2 linked regions of the Saccharomyces cerevisiae S288C genome follow. The protein of the gene in region 1 purifies or fractionates together with the protein of each later gene. This does not show direct contact. Each region holds a gene or a part of one and is shown on either strand. Other genes may lie near its edges. The genes, in order: YLR001C and VTC5.

Region 1 (16,578 bases):
TAGATAGTGCCATGATGCGCGAAGATTGGCAATGGGAAACTCAAGAAGGCAGCAACAAAAAAATAAAGGTGGCCTATTAATCACAATCTATTGCCTATATGTGCTAGGTTATGGGCAAATTCGGCACGACAAATAAATCAACGGAGAATCTTCTGCGTGATAAATTCGTACCCGAGACATCTCCAACTAATATTCCCACTGATGTACTCATCAAGCAAGGGCAAATAACGGATTCCACCGAATCACTAATTCATGGAGGCGCAGAAAGGTATATTGTTAACGCTTTAAAGCCTATAGAATTAAATAAAACTGAAGGCTTTTTCGAAGACCCGCCGTTCCATCTTCCTTCTCCACCGGTTGATTCGACAAATCTGGAGTATGAAGACGTTACCGATCTTCCTAAGAATGGTTTACGATATGATTTGAATGATATATCCGTTGAGGTAATCGAAGATTTATACCGCCAGATTGAAGCTTTTTTGGTTCATTTCAAACTATCCAGAAGTTTTTTACAAATTTTCAAAAACTATGTCAATATTCTTATTCAAGAAGGCATCAATCCTTTACGCGATGAGTACTTCACAATATTGGAAGATGAACTGAAAGGTTTTTTCACTTTCAATTCTGTTATAGAAGAGATTTTAGAAATATTTTTAATCCACCCTCGCAACAAATTCATTGCATTGTCCCTTGCAGAATATACCTACGCTAAGAACAAAATCAGAAGACATTTTAATCACTGGAAGACTGTATGTGAATTGAATGAAGAGGCAAACAGGTTTGCAAATCAAGCAAAGCTGAGGGTACAGGAAGCCGTCTTCTATATTTGGAGTGATAAAACATTAAAATACTCACAGATGGCCAACGATGAAGCTGAAAGTTTTAGGAATACTTGGCTACTATTTCGCTCGTTCCAACAATGGATAACTTTAACACAAACTCTTAAGGAGCAGTCAAGGTTAGCAGATCAGGCCTTTTTGAATAAGATGTTTAGGAAAATTTTAAAGGCACAAGAGCATTGGAAACACTTAGAAACTGTTAACACTGACAACATTAAGAAGATATTTTTACGAACAACATTTCATATATGGAAGCTAAGACATAAAGAAATAAACTACCACGGGTTGGAAAGAAGGATTTTCGAAAGAATAAAACAGAAAGTTATAAACTATGAATACAATAAGAGCATTGCAGAAAAAGTGAGGTCGTTTTCTCTACAAAGAAAATATCTGAATAAATGGGAAAAGAAAAACATTGAAAACGAAGATAAACTTGGGGCACTTTATGAACTGGAGAATAAATTCATCAAACAAAAGTTTTTTCGCAAATTAAACCGGTCATTTCAACATAGTCAACAAGAGGCAATTGCAAAGAGTAAACTAAATCAGACACTTTTGAGGTGCGTTTTTGAGAAGATGTGGCTGAAAAGATTCGAAGACCATCTGCATTTGTATTCAATTGTAAGTCTAAAAGAGGCTAACCTCGTGAAGCGTATTTTTCATTCATGGAAAAAACTTCTATATATTGACCTCAAAGCAAGCGATTATTCGAGGACTAATTTGCTCAAGTCATCATTGCGAAGTTGGAAACTTGAAGTAAAGTTAAAAATATTTGAGCAGAAATGTAAAAAGAGTATTCAAGCAAGCGCGTATCGTACATGGAGGAAAAGAATACAGTATGGGAAAATATCGAGCGAACATGTTAAAACGGCATTTTGTGCAAAATATCTTGGTGTGTGGAAAAGGAGGATGCTACAAATGAATTCTATGAATGACGAAGCATCCAAATTTTACGAAGAGGGTCTCGTAAATGAGTGTCTAGCTATATGGAAAGAACGCCTGATTAAAACTAAGGAATTGGAGGATAGATACAATTTCTTATGTAAGACACATGCAATTTTGACTGTAAAACGGACGCTAATGCATATTGATAATGTTCATTTGCTATATACGAAACTGGCGCCCTCTATGGATAGAGTAAAGCTTTCTAAGGCCTTTTTAAAGTGGCGGAAAGCCACAAGGTTCAAAGTCAGGCATAAGTTAAACGATATTTTACACGTTTATGAAAAGAGTAAAGAGCGCGAACTTCAAAGCCAACTGTTCAACGCTTGGCGAAATAGATTTTGCTTCTACACAGAAGAATGTAACATTCAGGCTATTTCAAAGAGAAACTACCAGCTTGAAAAAATGGTGCTGAAGAAATTTAGAGAAAGACTTTTAGAGATAGTAAAATCAGAAGAATTAGCAGACGAAGTTCGCGAAGAATTTGTGTTAGTCAAGACGTTTTATATTTGGAAAACTCATCTAGACGAAATATTTTATATGAGTACATTATTGGAACAATCGGAAGCTAATAAACAATTCATAATTACATCCAAATTCTTGAAAATGTGGAGTCTTCGATTCCTAAAAATTAAGCGTAATGATGAGACAGTCGAGGTGTTTCGTCATCGGTGGGACAGGGCCACTGTAAGGGGATTGTTATTATTATGGAAAAATCGTTCAGACAGTTCTCCAAAGAGAAGGAAGGACTTCAATCTTAAACATGAACTAAAAACTCCCATAAGATCAGACTCTCAAAACGCCTCAACCATACCAGGCTCAGAAAGAATAAAGCAGCACAGAATGGAAGCGATGAAGTCGCATTATAGCAGGGCAAGAAGAGCCATACCAAGTCCGGTGAAATCTTCCAGTGTTCTTGATTCTACAGCTAAAAAACAGATCAACCTTGAAAGTACGACAGGCTTAAACGGATCTCCGACGCGAGGAAAACCTCTAAGGTATTCTCCTAGGCGTACCACTAGAAACATGCCATCCAAAGTTGACCATATTGATTTTGGCAGAATACCCGCTGTACCTTTTAGCCTAAGCGCCAATTCTCCTAAAATCGATCAAGATATGGATTATATAAGAGAGCATGATAAATCCCCGTTAAGTCGTAAACGTCAATAGATATATATATTATGTACGTATGTATGTGTGCATATGTAGTCGTAACCTTTCTTGCTTCTGAGATGCATACAATTACTAATAATATTCTCCAGGTCTATGAAAACATCACAACATACTATACTTTTCGTGTTCGCGTTGTAAGCTATAATGGAAAATGGACGCCATAACGCATTACTTAACAAACTACAGTTTGTCAATAGAGTTGTCCAGTAGAGTTAAAAGGTCAATTCAACCGGTCTTCAATAAGACATGTCACTGAATGACTTCCTAAGTTCCGTGCTACCTGTCAGTGAACAATTTGAATACTTATCGTTGCAATCTATTCCGTTAGAAACCCATGCTGTCGTAACCCCAAATAAGGACGACAAAAGGGTCCCAAAAAGCACGATCAAGACTCAACACTTCTTTAGTCTATTTCACCAAGGAAAAGTTTTTTTTTCATTAGAAGTGTATGTGTATGTCACGCTTTGGGATGAAGCAGATGCCGAACGGTTAATATTTGTATCAAAGGCAGACACTAATGGTTATTGTAATACGAGGGTAAGCGTTAGAGATATTACAAAAATAATATTAGAATTTATATTATCAATCGACCCGAATTACTATCTTCAAAAAGTAAAACCGGCAATAAGATCATATAAGAAGATATCCCCCGAGCTGATTAGCGCAGCCAGTACGCCAGCAAGAACTTTAAGGATTTTGGCTAGAAGGCTTAAACAGTCAGGCAGCACCGTTTTGAAAGAAATAGAATCTCCACGTTTTCAACAAGATCTTTATCTCTCATTCACCTGTCCTCGTGAGATTTTGACCAAAATTTGTTTATTTACTAGACCTGCATCCCAGTACCTCTTCCCAGATTCTTCAAAAAACAGCAAAAAGCATATACTAAATGGCGAGGAACTAATGAAATGGTGGGGCTTTATTTTGGATAGATTACTAATTGAATGCTTTCAAAATGATACACAAGCAAAATTAAGGATACCGGGCGAAGATCCTGCTCGAGTAAGATCATACCTAAGAGGGATGAAATATCCACTATGGCAAGTGGGTGATATATTTACCTCTAAAGAAAATTCTCTTGCGGTATATAATATTCCATTATTCCCAGACGATCCTAAGGCTAGATTTATACACCAATTGGCAGAGGAAGATCGCCTCCTCAAAGTAAGCTTATCATCCTTCTGGATTGAACTACAAGAGCGTCAAGAGTTCAAATTAAGTGTCACATCATCTGTAATGGGTATTTCGGGATACTCTCTTGCCACTCCATCTTTATTTCCATCTAGTGCCGATGTTATTGTACCGAAGTCAAGGAAGCAGTTTAGGGCAATCAAGAAGTACATTACTGGAGAGGAATACGATACAGAGGAAGGCGCAATAGAAGCTTTCACCAATATTCGTGATTTTCTATTGCTCAGAATGGCAACAAATCTTCAATCTTTAACAGGGAAGAGGGAGCATCGGGAGAGAAATCAGCCGGTTCCTGCAAGCAACATCAACACGTTGGCGATAACAATGCTAAAACCGCGTAAAAAAGCTAAAGCCTTGCCTAAAACTTGATACATATTGATATTTATTATTTAGTACACGTATGTAGCATCGATCTTAGAAAATGCATGTTTGTATTTATTGTTAGTACCTTGATCGCCACCTTTCTAGGTAATGATAGGTCCTCAACTTTTACTACGCGGTGCACGCCTGTAAGGTCGGGCAAAACAAAGTGTGGGAACAATAAATAAGAGGGTAGGATGAAATATTACCTTTACTCTACTGCTCAGGTTGGCCACAATTTGCTAAAGAGTTTATCATTAAGTAGCTACCAGCGAATCTAAATACGACGGATAAAGAATGGCTAGTTTAGAAGATCTTATTCCTACTGTCAACAAGCTGCAGGATGTTATGTACGACTCCGGGATCGATACACTCGATTTGCCCATTTTAGCTGTTGTTGGGTCACAATCCTCCGGGAAATCCTCGATATTGGAAACGTTAGTTGGAAGAGATTTTTTACCTAGGGGTACTGGTATTGTCACAAGAAGACCGTTAGTTCTTCAACTTAATAACATATCTCCAAATTCTCCTCTAATAGAGGAAGATGATAACTCAGTTAATCCACATGATGAAGTTACAAAAATATCAGGATTCGAAGCTGGTACGAAGCCCTTGGAGTATAGGGGCAAGGAAAGAAATCATGCAGATGAGTGGGGGGAATTCCTGCATATACCAGGAAAACGGTTTTATGATTTCGACGATATCAAAAGAGAAATCGAAAACGAAACAGCGAGGATAGCCGGTAAGGATAAGGGCATCAGTAAGATTCCGATTAATTTGAAAGTGTTTTCCCCTCATGTTTTGAATCTAACGCTAGTAGATTTGCCTGGGATTACAAAGGTTCCTATTGGGGAACAACCACCTGATATTGAAAAGCAAATCAAGAATTTGATCCTAGACTATATAGCCACTCCAAATTGTTTAATCTTGGCCGTCTCTCCAGCTAACGTTGATCTTGTTAATTCTGAATCCTTAAAGTTGGCCAGAGAGGTAGACCCTCAGGGCAAAAGGACTATTGGTGTCATTACCAAATTAGATTTGATGGATTCTGGGACTAATGCTCTAGATATCTTGTCTGGAAAAATGTATCCTCTGAAATTGGGGTTTGTTGGTGTAGTGAATCGCTCGCAACAGGATATTCAATTGAACAAAACCGTTGAAGAATCATTGGACAAAGAAGAGGACTATTTCAGGAAACATCCAGTCTACAGAACTATTTCAACAAAGTGTGGTACGCGTTATTTAGCTAAATTGCTAAACCAGACATTATTAAGCCACATTAGAGACAAGCTTCCGGATATTAAAACCAAGTTAAATACCCTGATCTCTCAAACCGAACAAGAGCTCGCTAGATACGGTGGCGTAGGAGCTACTACTAATGAAAGCAGAGCTAGCCTTGTTCTTCAACTAATGAATAAGTTTTCTACAAACTTCATTTCATCTATAGATGGTACATCCTCCGACATTAATACGAAGGAACTCTGTGGTGGTGCCCGTATTTATTACATTTACAATAATGTTTTTGGGAATTCTTTGAAGTCGATTGATCCAACTTCTAATTTATCCGTTCTTGATGTTAGAACAGCGATTAGAAATTCTACTGGTCCCCGTCCTACATTATTTGTACCTGAGTTGGCTTTTGACCTATTGGTTAAACCTCAAATTAAACTTTTACTAGAACCATCTCAACGTTGCGTCGAGTTAGTTTACGAGGAGCTGATGAAAATATGCCATAAATGTGGCTCCGCTGAGCTAGCTAGATATCCTAAATTGAAGAGTATGTTAATAGAAGTTATAAGCGAACTACTTAGAGAAAGGTTACAACCTACTCGCTCTTACGTTGAAAGCTTGATTGACATACATCGAGCCTACATCAATACTAATCATCCTAATTTTTTAAGTGCAACAGAAGCAATGGATGACATCATGAAAACGCGTAGAAAACGGAATCAAGAGTTATTGAAAAGTAAGTTGTCTCAACAGGAGAATGGACAAACCAACGGTATTAATGGTACTTCATCTATCTCTTCGAATATAGATCAAGATTCTGCTAAAAACAGTGACTACGATGATGATGGTATCGACGCAGAATCGAAGCAAACGAAGGACAAATTTTTAAATTATTTCTTTGGCAAGGATAAAAAGGGTCAACCTGTGTTCGATGCATCAGACAAGAAAAGATCCATTGCCGGTGATGGAAATATTGAAGATTTTAGAAATTTACAAATATCAGATTTTTCACTGGGCGATATAGATGACCTTGAAAACGCTGAACCTCCACTGACCGAGAGAGAAGAATTGGAGTGCGAATTAATTAAACGTCTGATTGTTTCATACTTTGATATTATAAGAGAAATGATTGAAGATCAAGTACCAAAGGCAGTTATGTGTTTACTCGTCAATTATTGTAAGGATTCTGTTCAAAACAGATTGGTAACCAAACTCTACAAAGAAACACTGTTTGAAGAACTTTTAGTTGAGGATCAAACTTTAGCTCAAGATAGAGAACTATGTGTGAAATCACTCGGAGTTTATAAAAAGGCTGCAACCCTTATTAGTAATATTCTGTAATTGCATAATTCATCTCATTTTTGATCTTACTTCAACATTGCGGGCGTGATTATAGGTCAGTGTTTATTCCTTTACTCAGTTGATGATTTCAAATGTGCTCTCCTCTCCATTCTTTTTCTTGTTAATAAAAATCCATAACTAAATAAATAACAAATATTAGCAATCGCAAAAGTATTAACTAAGCTAGAGAACCTTCACTAGAGAAGCTCTACCTAAAGGTATAGAACAGGAAAAAGTGTTTTTATTTTGGCGGACTTCGTGGAAGATTGCCTTCCATCAATAATAAGCGTAGTCCATAGGTACGATCATTTCCTTTTTAACCGTTAAGCAAGCGACAAGATGTATTTTGTTTACCAGCGAATGCTCTTATTTATCTTCTGCGCCTTTCCAATAATCTAATTATCAATGCTACGAATGATTATAGTTTTAACTAGATGAACGAAATTTCTAGGTTATTAAAGAGTACGTTATGCATCAAAAGAATATCAGTCATAATAAGCAGATAGACCTTCTACATGGTTTGTAGACAACCAAACTGGTGTATGCTAATATCAACGAGTAAACGCTTACTTTTCTAAAGTTGAATATTTGAAGTACACACCCGCGTAAAGAGTTTTTACCCCGAAAACAAATTTTTATGCTTGAAAAATAGCTAATAAAATGTTTTTATTGTTCGGATAACAAATACAATAGTGTTATTAAAAAATAAAACTTATTTAAAAATAGTAATTTAAATTATTATTTTATTTTAATAAACTTTTTAATAATATTTATTACACGTGATTTAATATATCCTGTTTTTTTTTCATCATTCTCTTTCTTTCTTATGTTAACCTCGTACTACAAGTTTTCTCCTTATAAAAAGCTGACTAAAATTAGAGATTGATAATCATAAATAAATTTAGTAGCCATTTCCATTTTTACATTTTGATTTAATCGACACTCAAAGTTCTTATTTGAAAGCTAGTTTAGAACTTATTTGTTTGCTCCTTGATGAATATAATGAGAAGAAATTCCACTCAGATTAAATATGAAGATTGTTAACGGCAAGACGCTAAAAGAAAAGGAAAGGAAGTAGATGATGGCAAATAAGGTCACTTTCTTGTTAGTTACATATACTTTCACAGAAACTTGAAAATAACCACAAAACTTAAAACGAACGTTATTTTGTTCAATTGCTTAATTTGTGAAGATATTATCTACTACTTAAATGATATATTAACACTTATGAGGTACTGACACTGCGACCGCCCTTTTGATCTGATCCCACCCTTCGTATATCTCTGGGGGTTTGTATAGCGTTCACAGAATATGAACCTTCAAAAGTGGGTTGAGAAAGTGGTGATAAATGCGCTGTTGCCGAGTAAGAAGGGTTGTGGATTATCGGAGAGTGTTGAATCAGTGGTGTTGTTGCTCGATCATTTCTCCCTCTTTGATTTTTGTCTTTTACTTTTCCACCCCTGGTAATTATTATGCAAAACAATAAAGAAATGGCTATGGTAACACCTATTATAACCCCAAATCCAACCGCTATCCCTGGCAAGCGCAGATGGTATTTCTCGCTGTTTAGCCAAGATAAGGATATGGGTTTGTCGATCAGAAATATGCATGAACTTTTCAAATTAGTAGTGCATCCTGTTTTAAGAACTCTAACTTCCTTGGTCCAGTCGCCCTGTATGCTAACAAAAACGTTGTCCAGATGATCTTTTCTGCAGTTTAGTTTTGTACCTAGTTTAGTGCTAATGGAGCCATTGCAGTCTAGTAGGTTTTGCGTTACATTAGCAGGAATCAAATGGAGTTCGAGGAATTTTCTTAAGTTTGTCGAGTTCGCCGTGATGCCACTTAATGGAATAGAAGAAGCCGTTGGAACTAAAAGCGAGTACTCTTCGTTATTCCAAATGATTGAAGAAAGGTCATAAAACAAGTTAAAAAAGTCAAATATTTCTTTTGTTCCAGTAGTTTCTATCAGCTCTTTTAGGGATATCTCCAAATCGACTGGAAAATCCAATTGGTCTATAGGATGGATAACTCCCTGGTTGAAAAATATATCGGAACTCTCCTCAATAATAATACTTTCCTTTATAGTACTCACTGAGATTTTCGTAAGGTTTTGGCTTCCCACAATTTTTTGTACGCCAATAGATACAGAATTTCCGTATAAATTCTTGACAGTAGTCGAAATACTATAATTGTTGGAATAAATAAGGTCTTCGAAGATTAGGTTCCTCATAAGTAAATTTAGGGCGGTTTTGTTTGACCTCAAATAGTCTATAGTCAAATCATTATTGTCCCATGAATTCATACATGGAAGAAGTATCGTGTACCCCTTATGATTTGATGGTAGATCCAAAAGGTTAAGTTCCTTCAAGAGCATTAGGGAAATAGAACAGTGGTTTTCTGGTGCTAATGACAACACTAAGTCGCCCGGTAATTGAAGATCATCGTCAATAGAATAAATGGACGTATTACCAATCTCATAAGGTTTTGTGTTTAAAATCTTGAAGCGACCATTGATGTAATAACCTTTATTAGACCTTGTGATTTTGAACTTTTGGCAGTGTCCACCTAGTCTTTTAGCTGAAGAGCAAAAGGCGGAGTCATAAATTTGGGTAGGTGCGTATTGAATCGGGCGCAATGAGGAAAAGTCCTGTTCAAGGTCAATTTTACCTTCTACAAAATGGTACAGAAGTGATGGTTTTGTGTACCCACGATCCTCATTAAAAGAGGCTTGTGGTACAAATATGGTGATTTTCCTTCCGTTTTGAATGAATTTTTCAAGGTCTCTGAAGTATAACTCCTTTACGAATTCTGAGCAGTTCAAACCGTGCAAGTACTTTTCAGCATCAAACTGTATATGCGTTCGTAAAAAGTCTAAGTCAGAAAATCCATGCACGACGCCTATTTCAAAAATTCTGTTTGATATGGGTGAGTAATCTGAATTATTTACACTTACTGATGTACCTTCTGAATTACTCTTCATAAAAAGTTTTCGATTGTTTTTATTTTCTAAAATTAGTTCCTTGGGTAAAATACCACCATACACGTCATCAATAATGAGTTCTTGAAGAAGGGAAGTTCTATCTGCGGCCCATTTGGCCTGAGAAATTGTATTAGATTTACCCAATTTATTATATTTGTCAAGTAGATAGTTTATTTCGATTGTATTGAAGAATTTTCGAAAATTAACATCTAAGGGCACTAAAACTGTGGATGAGTTTGTATATGCATTATAGTTTGAAAAACTGCTGATAAAATCACTAAATATCTTTAAATCTTGGGTTTCTTCATCTAGTTGTACCAGCAACTCATTTATTTGAGGTTGAATTAGTAAAAGATTGTTAATACCTTGTAATGAAGCATTCTGGAAACTAGGCAGCAAATCGGGTTCGACAACAGCAATTTCATTGACAAAGCAATGGCGCTCATGCTTTCTCAGCAATAAAGGTGCTTTTGCAGCTCTTTTCTCCAGGTAGGTACCGTTTTCAAGGTCTCTCACTTGCAATACCCTATCATGAATAAGGAAATCTTCAATATGGAAATGCTCCTCAAATTGGTCTGTGGTTTGGTCCCCCTTAATAAATGCTGAATTAATCGGAGCAAAAAGTGTAAAGTTCTGTAGCTCATTTAAGTACTGTACGTGACCAGTTTTCTGAATAATCCTTAAAAAAGTTGAGAATTCAACATTTTCTGAGAGGATATCTATTACTGTGCTAAATGGAAAATCGTCCCCTGGGTTTTGTAGAAGTGCTTGTGTAAGCCCTAATATCGGCAGTAGCCAAAAAATGTATTTAATTGTTTGGATTGCCATGTTCATCAAAGGGCTCCGTTTGATTCAGTTAATACATGCTGTCACTCACAGCAGCTTAGATAAGAAGCCGTTTTGTCTTATTTTCTAGGCCCTTAATATACGCCTAATGGGGAAGTCCGACCGAACAAAATTCTCCTACCGGGTTTTCACGGTAATGTTCTTCCATAAAAAAAGACAATATAGTAAGCTGTTAATATTGATTTGGTGAACTTGAATCTGATATTTGTTTCTATTGCTTACGTATAATACTTTTGCGGTAATTCATTCAAATTTCATACAATGCTAATATTTATACAATTCTACTCGACACGGCAAAAATGATTGGCTAACGATAATCGTGGCTCTTTATATACTTAATATATAGGATCTAGCTATTTAGAACACTCTTTAGATCTAGATGATAGAGAGCGTAGCCCCTTTGTAACTACAGGACAATAATGCTTTTCAAGAAGAGCATTATCCCATAAGGTTGCTGCCTCTGGGTTACTCCTTGAAGGATTATCGGCTTCCATTATGAAATGACCGTTGCCTATTCTATCCTCGGAAGAGTAAAGGCCTGAAATTTCTGGATATCTATTCATTAATTTATCAATAAATTTAAGAATGGCAATACTTGTTTTTTCTGGGGTATGGCTGATGCACATGTACAATCTTTTGGTAAACGCCGTAGCCCTTTCTTTAGTCCCTGATTTAGAGCGGAAAAATACATGGTCCAGAGCCTTTAGCAGAAGTTCTGCTTTGGTAGAAACGTTAACTGATGGTTTTATTATTTCGTTATTGAGTGGGTCAGCCAACCTTAGCGATCTATAAGATAATTCGATGTCTGCATCAAGACAGATATAAGGTAATAGCGCGTAAAGCCCATCGACGAATTTGGACAAATCCACATTAACTTTCATATATTGTGTATTTGAAATAAGTGAGAATGCACTAACGATACAAAGCAAAGCCTTACGGACCTCAGCAGAGGAAAGGTTATCGAATTCAGTGTCACTAATAAGTTCTTTCATTACTTCGAGGAAGTCCCCTAATAGATCAAAGTTGGCCATATTACCAAACTTCGTTAGACCTTCCAAAACCGATCCAATGAGTGTTTTTGCATTGTTTTTCAAGATATTCAAATATATAGTGAAAACGATTTTTAGAATTTCGGATTGGTTTCTTTCTCTTTCCTCCGCAGAAACAGCTTGCTCAGCGTTACGCATTTCTTCCTCAATTTGTTGCATCTCTTTTCGAGCTTTTCTTTGCTTCTTAGAAAGATGGACCCTATCTTTCTTTTTGAGCTTAGGAGCGCTAACGTTACCTTTCAATTTAGTATTAGGGTCATAGTCATGTAAGACATCTAACGATAATAACATATTTAAAACAGATTCTTCGATGTTGAAGTTCCTCGTCTTTAGTATTTTGTTGAAAATTCTTAGTATCTCGAATGATATTGAGCCCTCTTCGTCCTCATTTAATAGAGTTTCAAATGTCTGGATTATTTGAATGGAAGTTGGATCTGTTGAAATTCTTGGTTTACAAATTCTACGCAACAGTAAAGTGAAAATGTCTGTTCTAAAGTTGAAATGGGATGCCGTTGAAATCAATTCTTTTGCGGCTTGAGTGGCCAAAATCCCTAATGAAACCTGTATAGGAGCAGCATTACTGGGAGTTTTTGAAAGACTCTGTAATCTTCCGACGTAATTTTTGTAGTTATAAACTAAGGCTTGCTCAAAGTTTCTAAGCTTGGAGACTTCTTTAGAAACTTTTTCCTTCTTTTCAGTTTCAGTTAGTGGTCGAATTCTATAGCCTGGTATGATACTCTTAAACACGGGGACCAAAGCCAACATGGAAAACTTACAAGTATTAGGATTTTTAGATTCCACCATTTTACATAGACGCCCCAACGCAGCAGTATTTTCTTCAGGCTCCTCCATAACTTTAGTGACTAAATCGGCAATGTCTTCTTTTAGTTGCAGAATTTTTTCCTCCGTATCAGGCTCATCCTCCTTTGCCTCTGCTTCTTGTTCTTCATTAGGTCCCTCATCATCTTCTGAAGAGTCATTAGAGTCTTCGTCTTCCTCATCATCGTCCTTTGGTTTTTCTTGGGCTTTATGCAATTTTCTTTCAACTTTACCGTTAACTTTTATAGGCAGGCCTTCAACAAGATTTGATGTATCAGACCGATTCTTCCGAGGAACCATTTCGTAATCCTGTTCTTCTTCATCCCAGGATGAGCCTTTTGCGCTATATATGGTATTTTCATCCATATCTTCCGGTGCATTTTGGAAAACATTGCCTTCTAACAAGGAATCTTCGTGCTTTCTTTTCTTTGCAGTCCTTTCCTGAATGCGAAATTGAGATCTATTTCTCTTAGCCATTATTACTATGATATCTCCAGCTTTTATCCCGGAATTATACTCTTATGATTGAAGACATAAAATGCCAAGTTTATACCATGAAAATACTATATATGGCAGGCAGGTGAATGAGATGAGATAAAATTTTCAGTTTTCGGGCATCGCTGAAAAAATTCAAAAACTAAAGTAAAACGACGTCCCATGGTCTACTCTACGGTGAAGAAAATGAGGGAAGACATTGAATTTCTGAATCTAAGTAACTACAAAAAAGCATACACTCCATGGAAAGAGTAAAATAGGATAAATTGGTTTTATGTAGTTAAAGAAAAAATACATTGTTATATATGGAGTTTGCTGCGCGCCTAGGCGTTCTCGAAGTTTCTCCTTTGATTTTACTTTTTGGAAGGGCTTTGGACAATTTAAAGAAGATAATTTGAAGTACCCCATCAAATGCTAGAATGAAATATTTAATATACTAAATTAAGGCTGGTATTTAAAAACGTAATCTTATGTGTAGAACCTCAGTGAAAAAGCGCTATTATTAATATAACAGTATTTTCACGGAGCTTTTTTTATTCAAAAAGGTTTTCAAGACTTGGCAGAGGACGGCTGCATTCTCGAATGATAATATAGTATTATCCTTAGGATCTAAATAACTTGCATCAAGAATGATATCTAACTTTTCCTTACCTTGGAAAAGTAAGTCAGTAGCTTCTATAATTTTCTGCATTCTTGTTGGAGTGGCAATAAAATATAGTGAATCTTTATTTTTGTTTGATTTTTTAGAGCTGTCAGTAAGTAAACGTTCCACGGTGGCTATGTCATCCTTTAGTTTACTTTTAGAGAATAATTTGACGCAATTTTTGCCACCGTTTAGACTACGATAAACGTCTGCTACTCTAATATTAGACATAGAAAAAACAATTTTTTTTGGAGCTACGGAAAATTTTTGAATAAAGGCTGGGAAATTGCTTAATCTGCGTTCAGCGTCAAATTTTTCTGTCGAAAGAAAATCATTTCTTTTGAAGTAAAGTTCCTCTAATTCTAAAACACTCAAGTCAGGATTTTTTTCTCGTATCAAAGTTGTTAGGTACTCAATAATTTTTTCTGGTGAACTTGCTGGAAGTGCTTTTCGTTGTGAGACGATATACTGGCTTTCCTCTTTCTTTTTCTCAATTAGCTTTGATTTTTTCTGTAGCTTTTTCTGTCTTTTCGAAATAGGTCTATTCGAATCATCTTCTGAATTTCTCTCCTCTTTTTTCCCATCTATATCATCAACGTCATCGTCATCTTGTTCTATAGACCTCTTTTGTACCTTTTTGGTTGGGGGACTACCATCCTTGGCGTCAAAAATTACTTCATGTTCGGCATCAAAATCATAGGCGAGTCCATCATCTAAATCATCTGGATTAGACATTTTCAGCTCAATTGTCCTGACGATATGTTTAGAAGTTAGTAGCGGGGATCAAATTTCGACTTTCATTGCCTCATCCATGGTCATCTCAAAAATTTTCTCTTCAATTTTTTGGTAAATACCAAGTGCAATGAATGTTTGGGTGTCTTTGAATATTGAATATTACAGACTAAAAATATTATATATTGTAAATTAAAAGTTGATTATTAGTAAATGTACCTGAAATTTCTGTTTTCGATATCAGTCAAGTCCAAAAATTGGTACTTCTTCCTTTCTTGACCTTCTTGTTCCTTATCACGCTTTTCGTTCTCCTTCTTGCAAATGTAGCCAATGTATAATTGTAGGGGAACACAAACACACTGAGTGACCAATAAGGCAATCTTTGCTGGTATGTAACGTGGAGCAGAGTATGCCCTAAACATCTGTGGAGCAATAATACAGGAGACATTGTATACAATCATTGTAATAGCATTTCTAAAAACTCTTTTGGTGTAACCGGAGGTGTTGCATGAATTCCAGATGTAAATATTGGTAATGACACAGGAACCACTGTAAAGCAAGTACAGAGAAAATAAGTTACCGATCTTATGGGATAAGGGTAAACTGATAAGAACGATACAACCTATAATAGCTGGAATATACATAGATGTGGTTATGAGTGTGATATGACCCCAGCGGGACAACATTTGAGTTGTTATAAGAATAATCATAGCCGTAATGGCACCAATAGGCAACTGCAGTAATGCTGTTTCGTACTTGTCGAAACCAAAAGTACCAGTGATGGTCACTGAAAATGTACCAATGGCACCAGTAGAAATTTGAGAACATGCAGTTAATAAAAGCATCGGCCAAGTAAACTTATCATGAAGGAATAGTTCTTTAACTTGCTGCTTCTTAAACTTCTTTGTTTCCAGGCCAGTTTGGTTAGCTCTGATATGCTCAACAACTTGAATTTTTTCCTCTTTGTTTAGGAACCAAGCATTGGTGACGTTATCTGGAAGGTATAAGAATGTTAGAACACCAAACGCAACTGTAACCAGACCAACGACCAAAAACATTATTTGCCAAGAGGTGAAAGCGGTACCATGATAATGTAAAAAGCCAAAAGAAATTAACCCGCCCACAATATAACCTGTACCAGCCTGTGTGGCCCAGAATCCAATTCTTGCACTCTGTTCAGATTTAGTATAGTACATACCACTAATAGCGATACAACCAACTGCACTCGAGGATTCAAAGAGACCTAGGAGAGTACGAACGACCATCAACGAGGCGTACGTCTTACAAGCAGCATGGCAAGCCAACACGATACCCCAGACGGTAATAAAAGTACCTAGGATTTTGGAAATGGGGAATTTTTGAATTAAGTAAGTGACCACAGGTTCCATGAAAATGTAAGCAGCAGAAAAGATAGTACCCAAATTAGAAAATTCGTTACCTTTCAAATGATCTTTGATACCCATAGATGCAGCGTAGTTCAGCAGAGCCTTATCCAAAAACATCAGAAGATATGTACAGCATAAAAAGGGCAGGATGAAGAGGTCAACTTTTCTCAGGACCTTAGGAGATAATTCATGGGAACCATAGAAGTTGGCTTCTTCGCCTGCTACAACATCGTCTTCATTAGCCGTGGAGCTTTCGTCGAGACCGTTCTGTTTCAGGAATCTTAAAGCAACGTCCGCATCGTCTACATTAATGCTCGAGGTACTTACGGAACAACTATCAGCGTTAGCTGCCTTCTTCTCCACGTCCATGGATCGTTGTGACATGTTTTTCATTGTATTGATTTGCTGACACTCTCACTACTTCTCAGCAACAACAAAGTAAACTTTAATCTATCATACTTTGAACTATCTTATATACGTGTATATATGCACCCGCTGAGATGCTCATCGAGATTGCTCATCACCTCTGAAAAGGCTGTCTGTCACCACCATGTTT
Region 2 (16,907 bases), on another chromosome or scaffold:
TTCACTTTGTAGAAGCAAATACTTTTTAAACGCCCAACAAAGAAACAAATAGTGAAAAAAATTGAAAATTGGAAAAAATTGGGAAATGGAGGTTAATGATGAACAGAAAGGAAAAACGATGAAATATGTGGTGGGCAAAGAGTTTCTGTAAGCAAGAGACTTAGCGAAACAAAAAAAAAATACAACTGGCCAAACGTATTATTACTTGGCTATTTTCTTCCTAACAGACCAACTTCTTTTGCCTTCTGTATGGCGGGAGGAGGAGGGGGGAGGTTTTCTTCTTGTTTTTTCCGTTAACTTTTTCCCGATATGCGTAGAAGGATAATAATTTCAAATACACAACTCACACACGCGTTTGTACTTCTACCTCAACACAAACGATAAACGTTAAAAACTTCTCTTCAGTAAGTAGTGGTAATAATCCTAAACAGAGAGAAAATACTGTTTTCTTTTTCGGTTTGCTATTTTTACCTTTCCTTTCCTTTCTCTTTGGTGAAAAACCGGATCGGATGTAAACGTAAATGCCAATTCAAGGGACCTGTAAGACAAGAGAATGCGAAGCGGTAATAGTGGCAGTTGTAACCATTTTCTAGTCTTTCTCCGTAAAGTAGTTACTTGCCACAATGCCGCCATAGTGCGGAAAACAACGAAATATAATTCCTTGAAGCACAAAACGCCACCCCTTCCCCTTGCCCTTGCCCTTGCGGACGCCCTTTCCCCTCAAAATTTTTTTCATATTACGTCTCCGGCTTCGCTCTCTTACTCTTGGCGCCGGGCGGACCCCGGCAGGAAGGGGAGAACCCAGCCCCTTCCTACTCAAGGCTCTGCGCGGCGTTTTCTCCACACCCCACAGGGCGGGGTAGAGCCGTGCCGGGTGATACACATCATCACATCCTATATGAAATCTATATCATATCACATTGGTATACATAGTACAAAGGAAGAAAAAAATTGTAATCATTAACGGTCCCTGCTGCGCTGGCTGAGCAGCGTCTCTGCATGATTGATACCCGGCAGATCCAGCGAGGCACGTGCTCTTTCCACGGAGTATCTTGTGTCCAGTTGGTGGTTGGCAAGCATCTCTTCTCTTGTGCGATCCAGCGAAGTTCTGAGCTTATTTCCGCGGGCACTGGCCATTGATCTTCTAGGCAAGTTGTTCGTTGTTGTAACGGGGCTGAGCTGGTCACGGCGTTCCAGAGTGGTAGAGACACGGTACCCCTTGCGCGAGCCTTGCTCACCATTGAGTATACTCATTGGTATTTCCTCTGTGACTATGGTCTCTTGTGAGTGGCTGACACCATCAAAATGAGTGTCCAGTGAAATGGGCTCTTTGAAATCTGTAAGGGGACGTATTTCGTTTATTCTGGGCCTGCTAGGGTCCGTAGGGTCGTAGCCTTGTGGGTAGAGGTCAAAATCACCGCGTAACCACATTTCTCTAACGATCTCTATATCTTTCGGATAGAATATCTTTCTGATACAGTCAATGGTGAATCTTGGCAGTAGGCAGAACAGCACGCCAACGAAAAGTACTGCCCAATAGGCAGGTTGTGCGAATACACGCGCCGCACCCTTGTAAAATTCGTTACTTGACGACGAGCTTGTCCATATACCCGTCCAGCCGTAAAACACGGCCAGTGATAGACATATGAATAGGCCACAGAACCAGTCCCATCTATACTGTTCCATGAAGACGTAAAAGTTACATGAAGTGACTGCAATTGCTGTAACGAAGACACCGACAAAGTAACGGTGGTCTAGTCCAAGGCCATTTTCAGTTACAACCATGTTTTTATGGTACGCCAAATAGGGGAAAAAGAAGCATATCACAGATTGGTATACACCATCCAACATGTACCAAAGAAATTTGGTTTGGTTCCATTCTTTTCTTAGGATACCCACACGGTACAACTGTGGCACCAGCATCGAAACGGTGTCGGAAACATCTTGGTCGAGTACTGCTAGTAAAATAACAGGTACGGATGTGAATGCAAGATTGTAGAATGTCAAGTACGTATACTCAAACAAATACGACCCATCGAAATTATTGTAAATACCATACCAGAACAGGGATAGCGTAAAAATAACGTTCTTGTAGAAAAACTGTGGGATCATCTCTGCCAGTCTCTTATAACACCATTTACCATGCACCAATACCAGTCTTGTCACATATCTGAACTGCCCGATGGCATAATCAGAACACATGACAGCTTGTCTGCCTTCTTCACCCGCGATACCAACACCAACGTCCGCCGATTGAATCATGGCTACATCATTCGAACCATCACCAATGGCCAAGGTCATAACGTCTAAGGTCTTTTTTACCAACTTGACCACTGCAGCCTTTTGTGCTGGAGAAACTCTGCAACACAAAACAGCTTTACAATTCTTACACAGTAGCAAGAACTTGCGTCTCATTTCTTCACCATTCAAAGCAACTTTTAGCGCATCGCCATCGATAATGACAGCAAAATTTCCCTGTGGCAAACCATGCTCTCTTTTAGCTTCTTTTAACTCCTCCTCGGATCCACTCATGCCAAATTTTTCCCTTAAGTATTTTGTCACCAAATTGTTAACCACTTGAATAGGGTCACTACCAAATTCTTCTACATCTTCGCCGGAAGCCTTCACAACCAATAATTCCATATCATTGTTCAAAACATTGCAGGAAAAACCAATGTTAATGGCAGTTTCCACTTTATCACCCGTTAGGACCCATAACTTAATACCGGCCTCGGCCAAGAGGGCAATCGAATCAGGAACACCATCTTGTAAACGATCCTCAATGGCCGTACCACCAAGCAAAATAAGCTCACGTTCAATAACGTCAGTAACTTTGTCCAACTCTTCCTCCCTATTAGTAACGGATGCAGCGGCCACATCATAAGTCTTAACCCAACGTTCATACTCGGACCACGTGAGCTCTCTTTGAGCCAAACATAATGTTCTTAAACCTTCTGTGGCATATTCTTCCAAATGGAGGGCCGTCTTTTCCAACAAAGTAGCGTCGTTTTGAGTGCGATCTAATCTTGAATAGATAACGGAATCCGCACCTTTACATATTAACAGTGCTTTAGGTTCATCCTTTGGTGTAGAGCCAGGGATCTTGATAATGCAACTCATCCTTTTTCTCGACGAATTGAATTCAAGTACGTTCAGAACTTGGAACTCCTTTTGAACACCCTGGATCTCTACTATCAATCCACTTTTTGAACTACCAACGAAACTGTACCCTAATTGTCTGGCGGTGGAAACTAAGGCAGACTCATCAGGTGATTGAGCCTTGATGTCCAGTTTTTTAGGATCATCTTTATTTGGCTCCACAAGGACAGAATGACATAATGCGAGCGCCAGCAAAAAGTGTTCACAGCACTTTTGTTGATGGTCGCCACTGGATCCTTTCAAGTCTTCCACAATTTCCTTAGATACAAAAGTTAAATCCTCCGGACAAAACTGTGTATTATCACTCATTGATCTTAATTCGTCGATCATTGTTTCCCTATCTTTTGCTATCTCTTCCTTTTCGCGACGACCTTCCGATTCGACATCAACACCTTGTCTCTTCCTCAGGCCTGCTAGTGCCTCCGTATAGGCACGTCCATAAGACACACCGTTAATAGTACATTTTTTGAATTCCATCACATTTTGTGTCAAGGTGCCTGTTTTATCTGAAAAAATATACTCAATTTGACCCAAATCATCGGAGATGTTCCACGACTTTGGTGTACATGGATAGTCTAGCTTGGCATTATACAACAAAACATCAGTGTAAATGAAAATAGCCTGTGCTGTCTTAATAATTTCCACAGAAATATATAAAGAGATCGGAACCAATGACTGATAAAGAATAACCGCCACCCAAAAAGAAACAAAACCGTTAGTTGAGGCAGAACCTCCAATGGTACCAAATTCAAAATAATCTCTCGATCGAGGTTTCTGTTTATAATAAACACCGTTAACAATACCAGCAGTGAAACATAGGATAAACAATAGTACAAAATTCAAAATCACAGAAAAATTCAACTCTCTTGAAATTCTGGATTTTTTGGTTGGAGTGACACCAGCGTTTATCATAATCTTGGTATCGTCACCAGTAAAAATAACCATACCCATGGCCCACTTAGTGTTTCTCAAGGTACAACCTCTCAATAATAAGTTATTGATATTTACAGGCTCATTTCTGATGTTTCCATTTTGTGTATCTTGCCATTTGAAATTACCTTGATAAGAATACAAGTTGGCATGTGGGCCTTCACTTTCAACCCAAAACTTCGTCCTGGTAATATCCCTTGAACTCTTAATAATCTTGCTACATTTTAATGATTGACGGACCTTTAGATTTGTTTCACCATCCAAATTTTTGGTTTCCACATAACAAGCGCCATCAACATCTGATGTCGATAATAAGATCATATCAGCAGGAATTTCATCGTTATTGTGAACACGAACAATATCACCAACTTTAACATTTTTCCAGTAATCCTTGGCAAACCTACATTCAGGGTTTGGCTGTAGCGTTCGATCAACTAAATTTTCACCATCGTTATACCTGTTAGCCTGTGACATTGTTTGATTCAGGTTCTCATAATCCAAAGAGGGACGACCAAAGTCGGCAGACATTCTGTAACTACCAATTGAATCCAGAGACCCACGTGGCCCAAAGCTTCTCGAGTTCCTCTTCCTTCGTAATTCTTCCCTTTTTTTCTGTAACTTCTTTTCTCTACCAGCAGCAGTGAGGTTTTCTGAAAAATACTCAAAAATTTTAATCAATGCCCTTGTATTCGCTTTCTTGAAACGCCTCCATAAGGAAACGTTATCAACAGCAACATTTTCATTCTTCACCCCGCTTAAGATATGTGTTCTTGTATTATTAACTTCTAAATCCAATACAGTCCTTCTGGAATCTTCGATACCATCCTTAATAGCAGTGATAATTACGATGACAATTAGGGGAACGGATGCAAAACCTGGATTTGTCACACCAAATATTTGAAAAGCACCTAGAATCAACAGTATTAAAAAGTAAATATTGGCAAAATTATGAAATTGGAAAAGAATGTTCTTGGGAAAAAATGTTAATGGAGTATACTTCGTAGTCCTGATTTTATTACGCGGGTAAACTGCCAACGGTAAGCCGTCCTCGTCAAGCATGTCCTCCGGCAAGGGTAAATTATAGTAAACTGTTCTCAACTCATCAGACCTATTTTGCAAGGCTGAATTTTCGAGACTGTCTTCTTTTGTACTGAATTCATCAATAGCATTGTGGAAGTTCTTCTTGGCCCATTTCAATGTTTTTGACCTATTTATATCTATCCTACCTGACTTATTTCTTCTTGTACCAAAACGTACTCTTTTCAACTTATGATCTGCCTGGGAATCATTGTTGCTACCTTCATTGTTATCCAACTCAACATCCTCAAAGCCTCCAGTATTAGGCATAGGTGTTGCCTGGAACGAATGGAGGTCATCATCCACCTCATTTTCGTGTTCATGTATCTCGGTTTTTTTACCATTGAGTTCATCATCATCATTAATATCATTATCGTTACTATAATCATCGATTCCATCAAAAGTAACTTTTGAGAGATCGGGTGTGCTAATATCTTTCATTGGCTTAGATTGTCGCTTCAAAACAGAACCGCCGGTTTTCGCTACTTCAATATTTCCATGCGCACTACTGGGTTTTTCAAATTGAAAACTATCGTCAAATGGTGACATGGACGACAGACCATTAGATGCTGATCCCGATTCATGCTCAATATCATCCACGAAGGGAGAAGTGGGTTTGGAGGGACTTGACATATATGTGTTGAGTTTATGCTATGATTCTTTTTAAAGAATTCTATTATTAAAAGGATTAGGAAAAAAGGAACAAAGTACGAACAATGTGAAAGCAAATAGAAAAAGAAACGGATGGTTTTTTAAACTCTCTCAACGCTCTTGCGTTTAATCAACTCTTTTGATTAATTTGTTTCACCTGAGACTCTGTCACAGCAGAAAGAAGCAGCGAAAGTAATACTAAGAGGTAAACCACCGAGTAAGCGATGAATCTGGTTTGTCTATTGTCTGTCTCTATGCAATAGCAGGTAAGATCAACAAAAGCGATAATAACAAGAAATACATTAAAAACTTTATGATCCGGAATTAAACGTGGACCCTCGAGCGGACTAATGCTTACATTAGTGTAGGACGGTCGATCCCGGCTTCCATGGAACGGTTGAAAAATTTGGTGCGAAAAAAAAAAAAAAAACGAACAGGGTAGGAAAAAGTAAACTAAAACGCGTCTAGTAAAAATCTGGCGTAAAACTAAAGGTAGAGAAAACCATTTTAGCGACGCTACATTTTTGAGAAATGCGCCTCTTTAGATGACCATCTATGGTTTTTGCATTTATCGTAAATTTTTTTTTTTTTGCAGCAGCAGCAGCATAGTAATGATATATATTTATATATTCAGTTGAGAAAACTTATACAGAAATGATCACTCGGGTTTCTTCTTTGCATACAATTTCGTCCATTCGCGAGCCTTAGCTTTGGCACCTTGCTCATTCTTTATCCAATCTTCAGCGACGTCATTAGCTAGCGGATCATTAGGATTAGGGCTAGCCAACAGTGCTTGAATGGACAGCAGGACGGTTCTGATCTGTAAAGCGGGTGACCAATTAGTTTTAAGCACATCAAGACATATACGGCCCAACCTATCAATATTGGGATGATATATCTTGGTTAAAAAACGTACTTTCGGTGCTTCCATTGGATAGTCGTCAGGCAGATATAATTCTAATTCGAAAATACCGTCTTCATATGGTGACTGTTCTGGGCCTTCGATTGTTACTTGGAAGTAACGTAAGTTGTCGTCATGTGGTTCTGCTGTAATGCCAGGTACTGGGTCACTTACTAATTTCTCAGTTTCCTATATGAAAGTTCACAAAGACTTTGCGTTTTCTGCCCTAGTAGTTTGTTCTGTTGAATTCCCTCCATATGAGCGTTTGCGGATATGGACAAAGGGAAGGCGGAACGCTGCTACAAACTGGACAAAAAAAGCCTTCTTGTTTTGGAAGTTTTGCGTTAGTATGTAAGTTCTAGCCATTATCAAGAGGAAACAGTGTAGAGTGTGACGGCTCAGACGAAAACGTCACTTCAGATTTCGTATATAATCCACTGCTCTTGTTTGAACATACCTTGATTATTCTCTTGGGTAATGATGCCATTTCTAACTATGTTACAATGAACCTGACCTTATTTGCTAATATTGGAAAAAAAAAGAACAGAAGAGTGTAAAGTACTATTCTCTATAGAGGTGTTTTGGTTCGTGGTGGCGCGCCATCTTTCAATGAATCACTTATCCTTTGTTTTAAAAACACCATAATTTCGGGTAACAATACGGATGCGGCATAATTAACTGAACTATTCTCTTTGATGGTTTAAAGGAAAACAAATTCCTGTTAGATGCCCATTATATTTGTTCACATGTAGAGAAGGCAAAGAAAAAACTGCTTATTGTACTTTGGTAATTTTTTAAATGATATTTAAAACGTTAGTATTTTCTGTTCCCGCGGCTCCCGCAGAATCTAATCATTAAGCTTGACTAGTATCAAGCTTTTTTCCTTCTTGTTCTGCATTCAAGTATTTGTTGGTAGTATTTCTAGACATCGAAAAGCTTTTTTAGCCCAGAAAAAAAGAGATGAAACGCTTAAATATCTCAAAATTAACATGAATTTATATTCTGTAAAAAAAGTATCGTCGCAAAATGAGAAATTAATGTTTAGCGATCTAATAGTGATCTTGAATATTTGACTACTTTGTTTGGATAACTTTTTCAGCATTGTCAGCATGCCCAAGAATAACGATTATTTTGCATCCAGATAAATGCTTCCAAGAACCTTTACTAGTTTTGTTTCTTGGTTTTTTATCGTCTAAATAAAAAAAGACGTCCTTGTTAAATTTCTCCCCAGTTGAAAAAAAATGTCTTGTGGCCTATCATGGTTTACTACAAACTGAATTGGAAAAGGATTTTCCTAATAGTTTGATGTCATGTAAAACGCCCTCGTATCTGCAACGGAAATACACAAATAAAGAAATATCAAATTAGCCGCCGACGTGTCATTTTCGTCGTTGTTGATGATCAAATTATCACAGTAAAAAATAGTACGGAATAGCGTACTTGAAAGGAGCATCGTTTAAAACACCGCGGAGGATAAGAAAGAGCCGGTCATTAGCATCCTACCCTTCACATAGTAAAGACTGAACATGACTATACGCTGCTTCAGTCACCTGTTCATAAGCAAATACCATGGATAGAAAAACAATCTCTTGTTACTCGTGTGCATCGAACCAGATTTCTAGCCGGGTAGTTTTGCAACTGAAAAAATTTTCTATTTTTTTTCTCAATCGCATCGCTCGCTAGCAAAGTGAAAGTGAAAAAAAAAAAATGTAAAACTGGGCATTAACCTTTATTGTTTCTGTATTCTTAGATCTTCATTGTGATCTGTTTCAGCGCGAATTCCACCTAGCCTTCTGCAAAAGTTCTTAAGAAAACACGACAGACCATAATGAGTGATAAAAACAGTCGTATCGCTATCGTTAGCGCTGATAAATGTAAACCAAAAAAGTGTCGTCAAGAGTGTAAACGTTCGTGTCCCGTTGTGAAAACTGGTAAATTATGTATTGAAGTCACTCCAACTTCAAAAATCGCATTCATTTCCGAAATCTTGTGTATTGGTTGTGGTATTTGCGTTAAGAAATGTCCATTTGATGCTATTCAAATTATCAATTTGCCAACTAATTTAGAAGCCCATGTAACTCACCGTTACTCTGCCAATAGTTTCAAACTGCACAGATTGCCAACACCAAGACCGGGTCAAGTCCTTGGTTTAGTCGGTACCAACGGTATTGGTAAGTCTACCGCCTTGAAAATCTTAGCCGGTAAACAAAAACCTAATTTAGGTCGTTTTGATGATCCTCCTGAATGGCAGGAAATTATTAAATATTTCCGTGGTTCTGAATTACAAAATTACTTCACCAAGATGCTGGAAGATGATATCAAGGCTATAATCAAACCTCAATATGTTGATAACATTCCTCGTGCTATTAAAGGTCCGGTTCAAAAAGTTGGCGAACTTTTGAAATTGAGAATGGAAAAAAGTCCTGAAGATGTGAAACGCTACATCAAAATTTTACAGTTGGAAAACGTTTTGAAAAGAGATATTGAAAAGTTATCTGGTGGTGAACTGCAAAGATTTGCCATTGGTATGTCATGTGTTCAAGAGGCTGATGTTTATATGTTCGATGAACCTTCATCTTATTTGGATGTTAAGCAACGTTTGAATGCCGCTCAAATTATTAGATCTTTACTAGCTCCAACTAAATACGTTATTTGTGTTGAGCACGATTTGTCAGTTTTGGATTATCTTTCCGATTTCGTTTGTATCATATATGGTGTTCCATCTGTTTACGGTGTTGTTACATTACCAGCCTCTGTCAGAGAAGGTATCAACATATTCTTGGACGGTCATATTCCTGCTGAAAACCTGAGATTCAGAACTGAAGCTTTACAATTTAGAATAGCTGATGCTACCGAAGACTTGCAGAATGACTCTGCTAGTCGCGCCTTCTCTTACCCAAGTTTGAAGAAAACTCAAGGTGATTTTGTTTTGAATGTTGAAGAAGGTGAATTCTCCGATTCCGAAATCCTTGTTATGATGGGTGAAAACGGTACCGGTAAGACCACTTTGATCAAATTACTAGCTGGTGCTTTGAAGCCAGATGAAGGACAAGATATTCCAAAATTGAATGTTTCTATGAAACCACAAAAAATTGCACCAAAGTTCCCAGGTACTGTCAGACAATTGTTTTTCAAGAAAATTAGAGGACAATTCCTAAATCCACAGTTTCAGACTGATGTCGTTAAACCTTTAAGGATTGACGATATTATTGATCAAGAAGTCCAACATTTGTCTGGTGGTGAATTACAAAGAGTCGCCATCGTCTTGGCATTGGGTATCCCAGCAGACATATACTTGATTGATGAGCCATCTGCCTACTTAGATTCCGAACAACGTATTATCTGTTCTAAAGTTATCAGAAGATTCATCTTACATAATAAGAAAACTGCGTTTATTGTCGAGCACGATTTCATCATGGCTACTTATCTTGCTGATAAGGTCATTGTTTTTGAAGGTATTCCTTCCAAGAATGCTCACGCAAGAGCCCCTGAATCTTTGTTGACTGGTTGTAACAGATTTTTGAAGAATTTGAATGTCACCTTCAGAAGGGATCCAAACTCCTTCAGACCAAGAATTAATAAGCTAGATTCCCAAATGGATAAAGAACAAAAATCATCAGGAAACTACTTTTTCTTGGATAACACCGGTATTTAAGCATCTTGGGATTCGGAGAACCAAGAGGACGATTGTTTTATTTTTGGGTTTAGAAATGTGGAGAAATAATTAAGAGTTATAATGTTTTTGCAAAACAAAATGAGTATTATATTACATTGAGTTCCTTCCCAAGCATCGGGTTGTTTATTTCTAGATATACGCCAACTAATACATTTCTAACTTCCCACCTTCATTACATCATAACCTGAAAGTGAACAACCTCCTCTTCGGTGATCCGTACTCCAGTTTATTTCATTTTTCTGTAAAGCAACTACACTATATTTATTCTCTATTTATTTTATATACCTATTGTATTTTAATTAATCGTTATTTTGTCCGCACCTTCTTCGTAATCGAATTTACCTTGTAAACGAGTCGTCATGATAAGCATTTGCTGCATTACTGAACGTTTATCTTAGCATGACATTAAAGTCCGTTTGTCTAAAATATCACCCAATTATTTCCGCGGTGTGAGCGCCAGATAAGGTGCTTCGGGTAATATGAGAACGCCGTTTCTTGATAGCATTTTTCAATGACTAGATAGGTAGATTACCTCTGTATCACACTTCTCGTACCAAACGAAACTCATATAAATAATGCTTTCCTTCTGGTGCCTTCTACTTTCCGCTGATCTCTATTTTCAAATTAACCGCTGAAATATAAACTGTGGAATACTATAACATAACATAGATTTAAGAATAAGGTATTCATGATCTCTGAAAAGGCTGCTACCGCTTTAGCTACTATAGCAACAGTTTGCTGGTGTGTCCAGCTAATTCCGCAAATAATATATAATTGGAAAAAAAAGGACTGTACGGGGCTGCCACCACTGATGATGTTCCTCTGGGTTGTTTCCGGAATTCCATTTGCCATATATTTCTGTGTTAGTAAAGGTAATGTCATTTTACAAGTTCAACCACACCTTTTTATGTTCTTCTGTTCTATAAGTTTCGTCCAATCGTGTTATTATCCACCAATCAGTATGGCGAGATCCAAAATAGTAATGATTGTAGCTGCTATTATTGCGGCTGATGTTGGCATGGAAGTTGGCTTTATATTATGGCTGAGGCCCCTTTACGAGAAGGGTGTTAAATGGCCCGATCTGATTTTTGGTATTTCTGCATCTGTTTTGTTAGCTGTCGGACTGCTTCCACCTTACTTTGAACTAGCCAAAAGGAAAGGTCGTGTTATTGGCATCAACTTTGCCTTCTTATTCATCGATTCATTAGGTGCTTGGCTATCTATCATCAGTGTTATCCTAGGTAATATGGATATTATGGGTATTATATTATACTCAATAGTTGCTGGAATGGAGTTAGGAATTTTCGCGTCTCATTTCATATGGTGGTGTAGGTTTAGATTCCTAGCTAAAGGCAATACTTTTGACGAAGAAAGTGGCCAAGCTCAAAAGGAAGAACCCGATGAAAAAATCGAACAAGATATTAGCAAGAGTGACCGAAATGTTACTAACTATAACCTGGATAACTGTTCAATCCCCGACGATGCTTCGAGCTTTGCAGACGATTTTAATATATACGATAGTACTGATGGGGGGACGTTATCAAGAGCCCAAACATTGCATGCTGTCCATGGAGTTGTGGTTAGAACAGATCCTGATCGTTATTCGAGGCTAAGTGTGTAACGAATCTGAGTCCTTTTTAGTTAGCACGTTTTCATCTCTTTTTGATAGCACGCTTAATAATATTCACCACTAGCGCAGTAATATGGCATCTGCCGCAGGTGTAAAGGTTTTCACTTCGCTTATATTCACAATACTATGCGTTCAAACACGGCCATCAGAAAAGATCAAAATAAGGATTATTAATTAAAAACTTAAACAGAAATTCAGTTTGCAACACCCTTCGCAATGGCGAAGTTTCCAAAAACAAAATCTCCAAACAAGATTAACATTCTTCTTATGTAACCACATGATATGCATATTTTATATAGACTGTACACATGAAAAACTTTTATCGTCCAAAATAATTAAAAGAAAATTTCAATCATACCATAGCACACTGTTCCAGTAACTGAGAAAAACATTGTGAAGCAACCAACATAATGCCAGATTGGCGCCAAAGTGAACCGACTAAATAACAACAACAGGCACGCACAGATCAAAATAAGGGAAACCAGTAAGGAAATGATAATAATGGCTATGAGAATATTTTGAATTTCTAAATCTATCTCATTATTACTTTGCCCGCGAAACAAGGATAAAACGATTCCCAGACATACACTTGCCATAATGCAAGATGTTAGCAGTGCAGACAAGTATAAAAATGTAACAACTTCGTCATGCCTATATTCGTAGATAGATTGTGAGTCCTCTATGTCTTGCTGTTGATACTGTAAGTACCTTTGAACGTCATCATATGACGCTGAAGTTGATTGTGAACCAAATGACGCAACAGAACCATAGTTAGTTGATGAACAATGCGGATGCTTAGAGTTTTGAAACAAATCTGGCGATGTTTTCTTGTCATGGCGAATCAAGTTTCGTAACTTCTCACAAAAATCATATGTGCGGTTGATGAAATTCCGGCTAAACAAAATAAACCCATAATCAGGCGGAGAATTTCTCAAAAGTAAGGATTCTTCGTTATCTGTTGTACTCCTGCTTCCATTAGTATCAATGTAAAAAGCATTGTCTAAATTATCCTCTTCTTGTTCATCAAATTCATTCCAATACCTAATAGGTTTCTTTTTAGTTTCATTATCCGATTGCTTTGATTTTTTGTGAATTCGAACTCTTCTGCCGCTGTCAACACTACCTTGTGAGTTGTTTATCGGCCCAGTCAGGTCAAACTCTTCCTCTAGACGATCCTTGCCCAGCTGGAAAAATTCATCAGGTGATAGCGAATCATCGGAATTTAATTTATATTGATCTCTTAGTAAAAGTTGAAATAAATCATTTTGCAATTCATTTGAGTGTACTAATTCTAAACATATTTTCCATGTGGTTAAGTCTGGTGGTATTAAGCTGCATTGAAACTCATTTGTAACAACTGATTTCATTAACTGTTTAAACTTATTGTCTTCATTAATAGCCGTCTGTGAAAGACCACTGGATCGACTAAGCTTTTTAATTTCTAAAATTGGAAAGGGTAATGTAGATACATTTCCAATAGTGATAGATTCATCCAAAGCTATCAAGTATATATCTCCATTGTCTGCTGATATGAATCTTGTTCTTTTAAAATCTAGCTTTGGTTCAATGGTTTTTAATCGATGGGACTGAATCCACTCCAAAGCGATCTTACTGATTGGCGATGGATCCAGTGAGTTTATGAGAGCGCTAATATTTTTTGTGTCGTTGCCACTCCTCATGGCCGAAAGAATATTCTTTACATCCCTTAGAAGCAGATCATTTGTGACAACATGATTTCTTAAGCCGCCCACGTGGCACATTACTATACAAGTATCCTCAGCAGTAGAGCTGACTATCATGTTTGGGTGCTGATTTATATTATCATCAGTAAGTAGTAAAGGACTGCCTTCGTTCCCGACAGTATCTAGTATACTAATAGAAACGTACTTCTCATTGGATTGTACAGCAGAGGGTAATATGTTCTTCTGTTTAGATAGGGATAAGGTATGTTGTAAGTCATTGAATGACTTTGCTGATCTTATAGATTTGTTGCCCGCAGAATTAATATTATCTGTAGTGTCTAAAATCTCCTTTGAAGTGGATATGATGCTATCGTCAATTATCCTAAAACCAATATTCAATAGCATGAACTTCAGTCCCTCTATGTCCTCGGACGATAATAAAAACCTTCCTAGATTCTCTGCTTTATCTATGAGGGCAGTATCGAATTCTAGCGAAGAATCAATCATTTTTGAAGTTTTCTTGTTTGAAAGTAGCGGAATTGACCTTGGAGATGCTGGCAAGGAAGAATTGTTGGCTTCTGGACTTGAACTTGTATGGGCAGATTCATCGGAGCGGTTTAGGGATCTTTGCTCCACTGCTGGCTCAGTTGCATCTTCAAGTTTATTTTCCAAATCATGTAAAACATCAACAATTAGCGAAACTTCTAAAAGATATGGATCTAAATCAAGCTTCATAAATGATATGCCTTCGTGTCCATTTCGTAAACTTTCAGAGTTTCTGATCGACGTAACATACTCACTTGCAGTCAATGGATTTTCACTGTCTTGAGGAAATTCATTTAGTAATTTTTTGAATAACTTTCTCAAGGCAATCCTTTGTATTATCAAAAACCTTGACAGTAGTTGTAGTTCAAAGTTACAATCGTCTACATGAGCGTTGATGATTTTCAGTTTACGAAGGTTGAAACGGTTTCTGGAAGTTTTGTTTAAGCCCTTTGAAAAATCGATTATTGATGATTCCACAGAAAGAATACGAGTGGAAATTTCCTTTATTTTCAAAGAAACAAATAAATTAACATTTTGAAATTCCTGGTCAAAGGCTACTGAACATTGATTCAACAACTTCTCCATGCCCGAATCATTTGGATTGTCATAATCATAAGCCGTTACTTTTTTTATGGCTACTTTTAACTTCTCATAGTTAATATTGTAGAATTTCCATTCAGGGATTGATTTATTCAATATGCGATCTTCAAATTTCATGATTGTACAACCCTTCGTATCTATCCTTACCTAGGGCTGAGATGGAGATATACAAAAAAAAAGCAAAGGTAAAAAGCAAGTATTAAACTCTATCTCTATTATATTCAAGAGGGCAACGGACGAACTATTAATTTATGAATTTTAAAAGTCCTTTGATAGCGTTCACGATAGGGCTTTTTGATCTTGCCTTTGTTTATCTTTTTATCTGTTTTGTTTTTTTTTTTTTTTTTTTCTTGGTTCAGTTTTGACTCTTCCACACACCCATTTCGCTAGCGTAGAACAAGGGGAGACACAAACTTTCTTTTCCTTGCAAGTTAATAACACAACACCCGTCCTCCTGCACTGAATTTACACAGAAGTTAAGAACCGCCTCTGCTTTTCTGGTATTATTTTGCAGCCTTGCCTAAAAAAAGTGTGGTAATTTTTGAGAATAATATATTACTGTGTTTTTCGAAACGAAAGTTCTGAATATTGGCTTGGTCGCTTCCTGATATCTGGAAACTTGTTTAATGTTTTTAATTATCAGTCTTCAAAGCGTCCTGATATGACTTGCCACGTTTCCATCCATTCTATATGTAGTTTAAATACAATGAGATAAAGGGTGCCTGCATGGAACTTTCCATTCGAAAAAAGAGATCATAAACCTTATCTGTCAAATAAAAGCCAATCTATTTGATTAGGTAAAAAAAGTGATGTCAGACCAAAGTGCCCCTCTCCTGCAATGATCATCGATTACGTACGGGTGTAATGATCACGACAGTAAAGTGAGCAAGGTAACTACTATCCCTAAGTGCGGCGTCATTGTAAGTCTACGACGTAGCATATTCAGTTTACTGTACAAGAAAAGTTTTCTCTCTGTAACAAGAGGAAATTGGTTAGCTTTCTACGCTTACTTCGTTTGGTACGATCAGTAAAGGTGAATAAATTAAGATCCACGCCTTCATATGGCAGGATCCACGATATTCCTTGCAATACCCCTGGATAATTCAAAAACCAAATGTTACACGGTATACTTGAAAATCGATACCATATTAGGAACACACCGGCCAAAGGTTGATAATACTTGGTATGAGATAAAACCCGAGCTCAAGGTTTAATGTTAAAATTTTTTGTATATATATATATATAGTAATGGGCTCGGTTGCAAATTTTTATGACTATCTTGAAACTAGTTGAAATTGCAAGAACCGTCACTCTATGGAGTACATGAACAACTAAAAAATAGCTTGAAGATACTTGCCACTCCATGCCATTTCTAGAAAGGGGTCTCTTGAGAAATGTGTGTTAAAATAACGGTTATATAGTTGGAAAGAATATTACTATTTTGCGATTAAGGGATGCCGTATGGCAGGCAAGGAAGTATTTGATCAAGAATACCGATTAATGAAGCATGTTTGCCATTATCGTTGAACCTTGGTATTTCTCAGGTTTCCTTATCGATACGATAGGAATGAGAATCAACTAACATTTATCGACTACAATTCATTATTACTACTATATTATCAAATGCTCTGCAAGGAGATGACCAAAAAGAAATGAGAAACAGTCTTCATCTCAAAATATAGGCAATTACCAGGTATACGATATTTCCTCAAAATGAAAATGCCTAAAATACGACAGAAAAACTTAGGGTGACGACTTTTTAACTAATCACTGAATGCAGCCGAAGCAAGTAATTATTTCCCTCGTTGCTACTCATTGAGGCCGCTCCATATGGAGATTTGAAAAAGGTTCTATTGATTCTTTAACTGGTGTCCATCCCCATGAGAACGTTTTAGTTAATTAACTGCTGGTAAAATAAGCGATAGTTGGTATTTTCAAAGGAATATGAGAAATGCGGGAATACTAGTTAGTAGACTATATTAAAACTTTGTTTCAACAGAATAATATATAGATACAACAGGGCAGTTGTGAAGATTGGCAAATAAATCTTTAAAA

What was found.
Region 2: the proteins of YLR001C (region 1) and VTC5 purify together in Saccharomyces cerevisiae (affinity purification with mass spectrometry, with the first as the bait; one large-scale study listed by BioGRID). This does not show direct contact.

Annotation. Positions count from the first base shown.
Region 1 is NC_001144.5:143,091-159,668, forward strand, and holds YLR001C (uncharacterized protein), read right to left. Parts: upstream 10,888-16,578; coding exon 8,299-10,887; downstream 1-8,298. Other genes in the region: SFI1 (Sfi1p), read left to right, coding at 111-2,951; H3 histone acetyltransferase RTT109, read left to right, coding at 3,201-4,511; dynamin-related GTPase DNM1, read left to right, coding at 4,800-7,073; NOC3 (Noc3p), read right to left, coding at 11,253-13,244; CMS1 (Cms1p), read right to left, coding at 13,765-14,640; THI73 (Thi73p), read right to left, coding at 14,844-16,415.
Region 2 is NC_001136.10:620,174-637,080, reverse strand, and holds VTC5 (Vtc5p), read right to left. Parts: upstream 14,970-16,907; coding exon 12,360-14,969; downstream 1-12,359. Other genes in the region: aminophospholipid-translocating P4-type ATPase DNF2, read right to left, coding at 961-5,799; E2 ubiquitin-conjugating protein UBC13, read right to left, coding at 6,476-6,907, 7,176-7,205; RLI1 (Fe-S cluster-binding ribosome biosynthesis protein), read left to right, coding at 8,547-10,373; ILT1 (Ilt1p), read left to right, coding at 11,083-12,015. UniProt on the Saccharomyces cerevisiae protein: Regulatory subunit of the vacuolar transporter chaperone (VTC) complex.